Danio rerio: one gene and its partner. The protein of the gene in region 1 interacts with the protein of each later gene in a pairwise test. Links are inferred from orthologs where the notes say so. Each region holds a gene or a part of one and is shown in the gene's direction. Other genes may lie near its edges.

Region 1 (6,009 bases):
TAATTTAATATTATATGTGTCAAAGGTCTTAAAGCATGTTTGGTTCCTTATTTATAAACTATATTATCAAAAATTCGACTTAAACATCATCAAATCAAGGACATTTCTGAGACAAGGCAACATTAAATATAATATTACACATTTCTACTGTAAAACTCACACTTTGTTGGCTTTTTCCGGCGTCTCAAACTCCTTCCACAGGCTGTCCACCTGCTGGAGCTTCTGTTCATCCAGGACCTGGACAACAGAAAAAGCTGTTGATTAAAGTGCACAGACACCATCTAAATACTAGACTTACTTAAAGCCTTCAAGCGGTCGACACTAAGCATTGAGGTAAAGTTGGTTTTATATTCGCAGTCATTCATTTAATATTCCCTATATTGTTTATCATGGTACTTTGAGTGTTGGGTCTGAAATCGCATTGAAGTATGCCTTAAAGCAACATAAGCACCAATTAATCGACTGTGAACAATGTTATACGTTGATAAGCCATTGACTACTAATATAATTTTACCAATCAGAATTTGTAAATGATACTTTTCTGAACTTAATTTAAGGAGAATGTGCGAAAGTGAAAATATAAAACCAACTTTAACGTTACCTCTAACGTTATACGCTGAGCGACCATGTGGAAACATGAGCTATAGTGGCGAGGTGCATTTAAACAGTAAATATCTTCATAAGATTTAATTAAATATGTAAATACATTTGTTGCATCTGTTTTGCAACTACTAAATTATATTTTATCATCTTGACTACTTTAAAAACAGTCCAAACTCGACTAACAGTGAGTGTAGAAAAAGCGCTGAAGACACAACGTGGCTGTGCTGCAGAGCAGGCCACATGAGACCCGCTTTACCCTCATTGACACACCGCACTGGGGAAAAACGAGTGAGCTACAAAATTACATATGTACTAACAGCATTTGCATTAATAAAAATCCTTAGATTGTACGTTTTGTCTTTTTGAAAGTCTCGGACAGCACTGCTAACTTCGCCGGCTAGCTAAGTGTAACCGTAAAAGCTACACAACTGCAAGAAAACGGCTACAAATACATTTAATTAACACAAAAAAATGAGCTTACCTTAAAAATGGCATAGCCGGCGGCAGTTTCAAATAACACTAACATTTTTGAAACAGCTTTTCTTGCTCTGAATAAAGTTTAAGGTCGAGCTCCCGAGACCGAGAGCCTTCCGCTACAAGAAGTCGCTCTCTCCACGAGGCGCACATGGGACAGGACGAGCATGCGCAATACTGCCAGTGAAATGTGCGCATGTGCAGTAGTCTCAGCCTCATTTTCATGCACCATCACCTCGTGTTGATTTTCAGTTTTCGAGTTTTATATTCAAAGTGTGTAGAGACAATATTTTGGATAATGTCATATTCCAAATAATGAGGATGATGATGATGATGATGATGATGATGATGATGATGATGATGATGATGATGATGATGATAATAATAATATACTAAACAAAAGTTTTGTAAAAAAAAAAGATATTTAAATGTTTTAGACAAAAAGATGAATAAACAATTATAATATGAAATATTATTTCAATTTTAAATATCTGTATTGTTGTATGTAAATATGTTTAATATTCCAATGAGAGTTCAGAATTTGTTATGGTCAATTTTACTTGGTGCTCTATGATTAATAATAATTCTGCTTGATATTTCTGTTAAATACACAATACATTCAGCTTTCTAAAATTCTCAGAAGAAACTGTATTTGAAATAAAATGTTCAGTAACATTATACAGATTTTTTATATTACCTTTGATCCACTGAATTAGTCTTAATGTCTTTTTTAAAATCTATGGCATTAAAAGTTATAAATACATAAAATAAACGATTTATTGTTTTATTTATGCAGGAATTTGCGAATTTATTAACTAATTGATTTTTTATTTGCATATTAATTTATTGTTTTATTTATTTATTGCTTTATTTATTTACTTTATTTATTCATTGCTTTTTATTTTTTATCTTTTTAATTTGTGTATTTATTTTGTACATTTGTTTATTTATTTAGCATGTTTATTTATTGTTTTATTTATGCAGGAATTTGTCTATTTATTTATTAATTTATTTGTGTATTTATTTATTTATTGTTTTATTTATGCAAGAATTTGTATTTATTTATTTTTTGTGTATTTATTTATTTATTGTTTTATTTACACAGGGATTTGAGTATTTATTCATTTATTCGTGTAGTTATTTATTAATTATTTTATTTATGTAGGAACTTGTGTATATATTTAGTCATTTATTTATTTATTTATTTGCGTATTTATTTACTGTTTTATTTATGAAGGAATTTGTACATGTGTTAATTAATTTATTTATTTGCGTATTTATTTATTTGTTGCTTTTGCAGGTTTCGTCCTCCAGAGGTGTAGTGTAGTTGTCACATTATTTTTGCACTCTAATATTTCGTGACCAAAATACTGATGTGTTTTTTTTTTTTTTTTTTTTGCAAAATACGGGCCTCCCTATGTTTTACCAATAGCAACATCGCAGATGGCGATTGGAGCCAATCAGAAAGAGCGTGGTGAGAAAAACAACGCTCGTTGGGTCATCGACCCAGTGTCATAGAAAGTCCAGCCCCTTTCCAATGACGTCAACGGCGCTGTGTTGTGGGTCTGCTGGTAGCACTATCAAAACCTCTCATTACTGTACATAACACTGTATCGTTTAAATCAAACAATCTTGATCTACAGAAGGGCTGCACATTGCGGAATATCATGTCAGACACGGTGAGTCTAAACCTGTGATGCTGAATCGAACTTTCATGAGAGCAGACGAGAAAGACGGACTTATAGAAAATGAAAATAAGAGGGCCCAGCTTTTAGCCTGTCTAGCTGACTGTGGTTTGGAAAGTATTTTTGATAAAAATGCTTGAGTGTTTTTAACTGTGCATAGTTTCTGGTTCTCGCAATTTACACATTAGTCCAATTTACTGTGTTCACAAATGCCAAAAATATGTGAATTTCTTCCTCAAATCGTCCAATTAGCATGTGTGCTAGTTAGCTGCTCTGGGCCCTGAAAGCAGAGTTCATAATATCTTGAGCTGATAGACCATGCTGAACATTTGAATTAGTTATTAATTGTTGATTTTTTGATATGTTCATTAGGATTATTCGTTATTTGTTCACGTTAGTTTGTGTTCGGTTTGTGCTCGTATTAACAGCTCGCGATAGAAGAGTAACGTTAGGTTGTGTGTTTACATTCAAAGCACACACACACACACACACAGCCTAGTGTTTAAATGATAACAACACTCACAATATTATTTTATATATAATATATATATATATATATATATATATATATATATATATATATATATATATATATATATATAATTATAATTTATTAAAATCGGATCTACCTTATTTTATACGATCTTCAGTCAATATTTTATTGAATTCAGTCCCAAGATATTTTTTTAATTCATTACATTAAATCTGATAAAAAAACAATATGACATGCAGTAATCGAATGCTTGTTTTGTTTTAATAGGAGACCAAGCCCTCAAGTGATGGAGGCGAGAAGAAGGATGGAGAGTACATTAAACTCAAAGTGATCGGTCAGGTGAGCAAAAGCACTTGTTTTCTAGGAAATGCAGGTTTTCATATTTAAACCCATTACTGTTTAAAACCAATCCAGCTGTTCTTTTATAATGAGATATATGAAAAGATCTGAACAGATTTGATGATTTCCTTTCATTTCGCAGGACAACAGTGAAATTCACTTTAAAGTGAAGATGACGACACATTTAAAGAAGCTGAAGGAATCCTACAGTCAGAGACAGGTGAGTCAGTTTTTCCATTTATGAGGGATAACGATAAATCTACACTACCATTCAGAGGTTTTGGGGGGTGGGTAGGATTTTTAAAAAACGCACTAATGCTACTTTTATTCAATCAAAAATGCATAAAATCTGTATTATTGTGAGTATTGTTACAAATAGAAATACACTAACACTGTAAAAATCTTAACTGTGATCAAATTAATGCGTCATTGCCGAAACAAAAAACAATGTTTAAATAGTTGTGTATGTTTCAGTTAAGGTTCCTGAGGTCTCATTTATAAAACATTGCATAGAAACTTTCCTAAAAGTGAATGTACACCAGAATACATTTTTATTTATTTATTAATTATTATGGCTTTTATGATGATTTAAAGTGCTTGAATTAAGTCAATATTTAAGCGAAATGTGTTTACTTAAAGCTGCGCACATTCTCCCGTCAAGTTTGTTTTTTATAGATCATAATAACCTGTATAAGAAGTGGCGTACACGTGTTTCCACCCCCAATTTTGTGTATACCATGTTTATAAATGAGACCCCTGGACAGTTTATTCTCTCTTTCAGATCAATTATTTGAACCATGTTAGTTAAAACATAAAACGTCTGTAATGATCATCTAAAGGGGGTGGAGTAACAATTTATTAAGAGGAAATTCACATTAATAGATGCTTTTAGTTTTGGTACAGAAAATATTGTTACACACAGGATATATATATATATTTTTACCCATTATGAGTTTTGGTAATAAACATTTAGTTTGCTTGCCTCGGCTTTTCTTTATCTCTGCTTTCTTAAATGAAACGCAACGACACAAGTATTTACTTTCTTTTACAAATATTATTGACAATATTCCATATCATACTCTCTGCTATTATAAATAAAACATAAACCCATTATATAATGACATGCAATCTAATTCTGAAATATATATATATATATATATATATATATATATATATATATGTATATGGTCAAAGATGTAAAAAATATATTTATATTTATCTGTTGCTTATAAAGTTACATGTTTCAGAAATTACATTTTACAAAAGTATATTTTTGTATTTAAATAAATTACTATTACAGTTTTATAAACACTCAAACCACTGCAGAAATGTTGCATATATCATATACACTAAAAAAAAAGACTTTTGCGGCTTGTTCAAAGTACTTATATATAATTAGCTGAAACTTGTGTTCTTGAGGACAACTTAATTGTTTTAAGTTAAGCCCACTTAAATTTATGAAAAAAAATTAAGTTTAATCAATTTATGATGGGCCATGTAAAAGAAATGTGTGGACCATAGCATTTTTACAGTATATTAGAGATCAATTTTCTATACAAGTTAAAATCATTACCTTAAATGTTTGTTTTAACAGTTGCTGGAAGTGTGTAAACAGGTTTTTGATTGTAAATGTAGCTTTCTTCACGAGTCACTGCTGCGTTTAAAATGGCATAAATGTTATGGGAGTGCACTATGGAGATAGCACAGTTGTCAATTTGAAGTTTATAAACTGAACTGTAATAAGAATAACTTTAATATAAAATGTGAACAAGACAACCTTTAATGTTTTTAAATGATTCAGAGTATTTGTGTTCAAATGGACAAGGGCATAGGGTGGATGATTCAGAATAGAACACAGCCTGGAACTCTGCATCTAACTACAGCTCTAGAGGTGTAGCTCCAACCAACCAAGTGTGTGATGCTGTTTGTGAATGTTTGCTATAAGATGTATGGATGTATATTTGGAATAACACTGAATTGCTGAACTATTTTTGTAATGAAGGAAATTGTGATCTTAGTTGGTTGGCGATGGTTTTGTGAACAGCACCATTATTCTAGAAAATGCACAAAGACAATATCAGAATTTGCTTTAAACAAAACGATTTGAGAAGTTTAGAACAACTGAATGAATTCAAGTCTTGTATTTTCATTACACACCGCTGTTTGTCATTTTTAAAAGTGTGTATTTTTAATGTAAAAATGTTCAGCTCCACATTACTCTGATTAGAAACTGATAACGAGAGTGTGCGATCGTTTACATCTGACTTTACTTTGCTGTTTTATATTTGTTCCATATCTAAAGATTGATTACAGTGTGTTGGAGGTGAATGTATTTAGTCTTTAAGTTTATTCTCATTCATTTACTCTTTATTTACTGTTTTTTTTAAGAAAACCAATTCAACCAAATCATACAGT
Region 2 (5,469 bases), on another chromosome or scaffold:
ATTGTGGGGTTACTAAATCCTTTTTTTAATTTAACAGGAGGATGGTAAAAGTAGAGCCAGAATATGACGACAATGTCGTGACTTGCAGTCAGATGGTGTATGACTGTTATGCCTCGAAAAAACAAGGCCATGTAAGATTTCTTCCTAAATATTGTACTGCACCACAGTGTATTTGCTTTTATGCAGTAAACATTGACTGCATTGCTTTAATGCATATTAGGAATAAAGCTGAATATTCTCCTAATCTTCGTCTTGTAGGCACCTGGCTCATCCAACAGTGGTGTTGGCAGCAACTATGTGATTTATGACGATATGCAATCACTGGTCAGCGTGCTTAATTCAGAGATGGGCCAGAGCATGCGTGTATATGGATGCACTTTTCTGTGGTTCATCCCATTTGTTCGTTCCATAATGGAACTTCAAGAGCACAATGCTTCCTATATTAGTGAAATCATCCACTATCTTTGTGATAAGATCCGAGATAATCGGTACATGCTGACTGGACAAGCAAGCGTGTGTGATAAAGTGACTGAGCTCTTTGCTCGTATCTTTATTCAAATCGTTGAGCTACACTATACCGAAGGACAAATGGGAATACTTTCTCGCTGTCCCCCCAAGTGGGTTGAGGTGATTGTCATGTGCGTCGTCTTATGTGATGAACCTTATGGACCCCCAGACAGGATGGGTGGGATTCACAGTGTCAGTTCAACATCTTACAGTCTTGGCATTGTAGGAAGACCTACATCAGAATGTGGGAATGGAGCAATAATTAAAGGCTGTTTGACGCTTATTCGGCAGCTGCTTAAGGAAGGGAAAAGAAGATCTGACCCAGATGCGGCCATGTTTTTGAATTTGCTTAACAAGCAGCTGCGTGGTGATACCAACAAAAGGTGGAGTCTAACTTTTTCAAATTCTGCAAAGCTTCAGCAGTGTTTGAGGAAAATTGTGCAGCTGATGGCTGAAAGACCTGCTGTTCCACCCCGATCCGCACCATCTGTTGAGGCAGCTACAAATACTGTTGTTTCCAGAAATTCAGTATCAATCTGCCAACAACAAGAGGACCCGGAGGCAGGTCCCAGCAGAGCTGCGTTTATCAAAGAGGAGCCTCTTTGGAATTATGGAAAAAAATCTTTCTCCAATGAGGAATTCTCATGTGGGCCTGAGGATGTCTTCAAGGGTAAAAAGGAACCTTCTGACCCAGTGTTAATTTCAGAGCTGAGGCCTGCTGTTGAGTTGACCAATATAAAACCAGATCTGGGTAAACTGCAGGAAATTCGATCAAGATTAAATGATGATCAGAGTTTGTCAAAGATCGAAGCAATTGCAAGGAAGAAGTCTGACGTGTCAGCTAAAAAGAGACCAGGTTTTGGGGCTTTAAAAAATGAGGAGGAGGAGGAGGATGATGATGATGATGATGATGATGATGAACCCCTTCATATCACTCGAACTCGTCTGATAAAATCTGCAATCCACAAGCTTGAATCTAGTGACTCTGACGTTGACTCCAGAGCAACTGCGTCTTCGGTTATTTCCAAGCAGAACACAGAGTCCACTACCATAGTTATCTCTGATGATGAAGATTCTGATAATGATATAAGGCCAAATGACCCCTTGAGGTCTAGTTACAAAGAATGCACAGTAAAAAACAAATCTCCAGAAAGTCCTGTAATGCCTGAGAGTCCGGGGCGTGATTATGATGATCTAAGTGAATCACAAGTGTTTGAGTTTGAGACTCAGCAATATGTGGCATCTGCTTGGGATAATGCAGATTTGGATGGATCAGTCTTGACAAAGAATCTCAAATCAGATCGAATACTCAAGCCACAGTTGGATGAAACGCCTAATGAAGCATCTCCCTCATGGAGTTCAGAGACTGAGCTGGTACCAGATGAGGACATTGAGAGGGCCTGTCAGCAGGCAGAAGAGAAGATCAGACAACAGCAGCCGAGAAAGCCAGCAGATGAGATGGAAAGAGACTATAAGCAGGTGGAAGAGAAAATCAGACCACAGCAGACACGAGAGAATTCGGATGTGCATGAATTCTCATCCAAAGCATCAAGTACTACAAAAAGCTGGGATAAATTTGCCAAACCAAAACCTCTAAAGACTAAAGTAACAAAAACCACTCCATCTGATAAGAGAGACCATTTGCAGGTTAAAAAGCCAGTGTTAATTGATGCCCTTGCTCAAAAAATCAGACGCCACCCTTGGAAACGTAGCTCAACATCTGAGGACATGGAGGAACCTTCCTCTTCAACTACTCCATCCTCATCTGCTGTATCCTCCACCTCCTCCTCCTCCTCATCATCATCATCCACTCCATCCTCCAGCTCCATCACTTCTCCTTATTTTTCTGCATCTACGTCACGTGGCACCCCTGCCATTGTTCCTCCAAAGAAGGTGCGTAAAATTGCTGAGCCAGAATCAACGGCAGAGCGTTTAGGATTGAAAAAGAAGGAAAGGAAAGCCTTTGATCTTTCTCAGCGTTCACTTGACTGTGTCGCCAGACTCAGGTGCCATGGCCAGAACGTGCAGGTGGAGCCACATCAGAAAAGAAGGCGAGCGTCTCGAACCAGTAAGACTTCTCCGCAGAAACGTATGGTGAAAGCTAACAAGAAACTAATGGGATCTCAAGATATTCAGTTTTTCAGGCAAAGTCGTGAGAAGCATCAGAAGCCAGCAACAGAACCCATTACAACATCAGCTTCCAAACCAGTCAGTCGGCAAGATGAATTGCACTCATCGAGACCAACAATTCCAAACAATGAGGATGGTGACTTCTTGCCCTGTCCTCAACCAGATGCCCATTGTCAGCAGGATAATGAAAAAGGTGCATTAGGGAGTAGCGATTCTAGTGGGGATGGGGTAGGGAATAAGTTCCTCCAAGCTAGTGAGGCTGCTGAAGGTAACTTGGAAGGAGAGAAAGCTGCTCAAGCATCAAAAGAGGATGTTGATGATGAATGGATGTTCTATACACAGATGGAACCTACAGACATGGAAATCTGTTCACAAATGGAGGAATTTGAGGATGAAAACGACGAACTCTTTCTTACCCAGAGAGATCCTGTTGACATGGACATCGATACAGATAGTGGGTCGGATACCCCTGGTCAACCTGACTTCACTGACAAAAATGTACCGCCTTCTAATGCGGCAAATGATCATTTGTTCTTGAAGCCTGGAATGTCACCCATGTCTCAGAAAAAAGCCAAACCTTCCACCACTAAAATATACACTCCCAGCTCCCGTAGTGCCTCACTTGTCCTTGAAATGGAAAAAGGAGCCAAGCCTCCCCCTCCTGCAAATGTCGCTAAAGCAAAAATTCCTCGATTGGCTTCAGCAATGCCACCCCCAGCAATGCCACCACCAAAAATGCCACCCCCCAAAATGTTCCAGCCTTTACCCCCTCCACAATTACCAAAGCCACCTGCCTTAAAACAAGTAACTCTTCCTCAGGGCAGTGTCCCCAAGTTGGTCACCAGTAATAAAATAAGCTCAACCTCAGAACCCCCATCATACAAGGTATACCAAAGACCAGAGGCTCCAGTTAACAAGCCAGTTAACAAACCAATGCCCACAATGGATCAAAGCCCAAAGTTTGACCTTTCGGTGTTAACCCAGGCAATCCTTAAATGGGAATACAGAATGCTTGATAATTATAAAGCATTTGGGAGTCCACTTGATCTGTGCCAACTGCCGCTGAAGGAGGTGCCAGTAAATTTTTCTTCCTACCTGGAGTACTTCAACACCTTGTACCCACTGCTGCTAATTAATGCATTCGAAGAGGTGGGACTACATTTTATTTCAGTAATGCCTAAATCTTTTGATATAATTGGGACTGCATTTTTTTTAAATATAGATGATTTGTTTATTGGTGTTCTTTTTCAAGATCAGGAATTGGTTTAGTTTTAATCCATTGTGTTTTCAATAGATGGCTAATGAATGGCTCAAAGAGGGAAGGGTCAAGCTGTACCTAAAAGTCCAAGGTATTGAATACAGCAATCGCACTGCTAGTGCTAGCTTCATTGGTAAGTTCAGCAATTAGGTATTCATGCTAATACAATTACAGTTTGTAGTTGTTAGCAGAGTGTGTTTCCTGTAAAGTATCAGCCTTTTGATTTAAAAAGTTGCTTTTATTTGTAGCCGGCCTTTCTCAGGAATGTGATGTGAAACAAATTTACCCAAAAGAAGATGACCTTGTATTGCTTTGGCTGCCAGACAACACTGGGGCATACGCCCAGGATGAACCAAATTTTCATGATCTACATCCTCATTTTGGCTATGTATCCCGGTCCAATGTTTTAAACAGAACTCCAGGTGTGTGCTCTGATGCTCTAATTTTAATGAGTATTTTTTGTGTTATTTTATGTCCACTGTCTCATTAAGCTGTGCCTCTTCAGGTTCCAGGTCAACATTAAACCTGACAATTCAGACACGCGGTAATGTATCATCAGTGAATTCCCAACCTGTGCTCTGTGAAGTTGTTGGATCATTGATCAGCATATTTCGGGAGTTTCGTGCACTGTGTTTGCTGAGAAACGGACCAATGCTACGTCCTCTTCTTGCGCCCCATGTGTCTTTTTTCACACATTCTTTGGATGGACCATCAGACCTAGATGCACCAGTGAGTTTGGCTTTTTACAAACAGTGCTTCCTACTTTTCTTGAGTCAGACTTTCATCTTTGCTAGGGAATTTGATTATTTGAATCAGGTGTATTAAAGAAGCCATCCAAATAATCAGAACGCTTAATGAAATGAGAATATCAGATCAGGGACACAAAACACATATGCTATGCATAACCTTATGCATTCCGACTGTAGACTAGGTACTTTAAGCCAAAATGCAACTGAAGCTCAAACAAGACGTAGGAAAATTGTCTAGAGCAGAGGTGACCAACCGTGTTCCTGGAGATCAATCTTCCTGCAGATTTCATTTGCAACCTGTATCAAGCATACCTGACTATAATTATAAAGTGCAGTTCAGGTCCTAATTAGTTGTTTCAGGTGTTTTTGATTGGGGCTGGAGCTGAACTCTGCAGGAAGGTAGATCTCCAGGTGCAGGGTTGGTTACCCCGGCTCTAGACAACTTTTCTTGGTCTTGTTTAGGTACTTTAGGCCAAAATGCAACTTAAGCTCAAACAAGACCAAAAAAAATTGTCCAGAGCAGGGGTGACCAACCGTGTTCCTGGGGATCTACCTTCCTGCAGATTTCAGTTGCAACCGGTATCGAATGCACCTACCTGTAATTATCAAGTGCAGTTCAGGTCCTAATTAGTTGTTTCAGGTGTGTTTGATTGGGGCTGGAGCTGAACTCTGCAGGAAGGTAGATTTCCAGGTGCAGGGTTGGTTACCCCGGCTCTAGACAACTTTTCTTTGTCTTGTTTAGGTACTTTAGGCCAAAATGAAACTTAAGCTCAAACAAGACCAAGAAAAATTGTCCAGAGCAGGGGTGACCAACCGTGTTCCTGG

The links. The genes of interacting proteins can lie anywhere in the genome.
Region 2: the proteins of sumo1 (region 1) and setx interact in a two-hybrid assay, tested with the Homo sapiens proteins (2 studies listed by BioGRID and IntAct). The link is inferred for Danio rerio from reciprocal best matches to the Homo sapiens genes SUMO1 and SETX.

The regions. Positions count from the first base shown.
Region 1 is NC_133181.1:10,601,973-10,607,981, forward strand, and holds the start of sumo1 (small ubiquitin-related modifier 1), read left to right. Parts: upstream 1-2,642; 5' UTR 2,643-2,744; coding exon 2,745-2,756; intron 2,757-3,522; coding exon 3,523-3,594; intron 3,595-3,736; coding exon 3,737-3,814; intron 3,815-6,009. Other genes in the region: nop58 (nucleolar protein 58), read right to left, coding at 161-237, 1,085-1,129. UniProt on the Homo sapiens protein: Ubiquitin-like protein that can be covalently attached to proteins as a monomer or a lysine-linked polymer.
Region 2 is NC_133196.1:4,738,562-4,744,030, forward strand, and holds part of setx (probable helicase senataxin), read left to right. Parts: intron 1-37; coding exon 38-131; intron 132-258; coding exon 259-3,786; intron 3,787-3,931; coding exon 3,932-4,028; intron 4,029-4,143; coding exon 4,144-4,317; intron 4,318-4,400; coding exon 4,401-4,624; exon of another isoform or gene 4,625-5,004; intron 5,005-5,284; exon of another isoform or gene 5,285-5,469. UniProt on the Homo sapiens protein: Probable RNA/DNA helicase involved in diverse aspects of RNA metabolism and genomic integrity.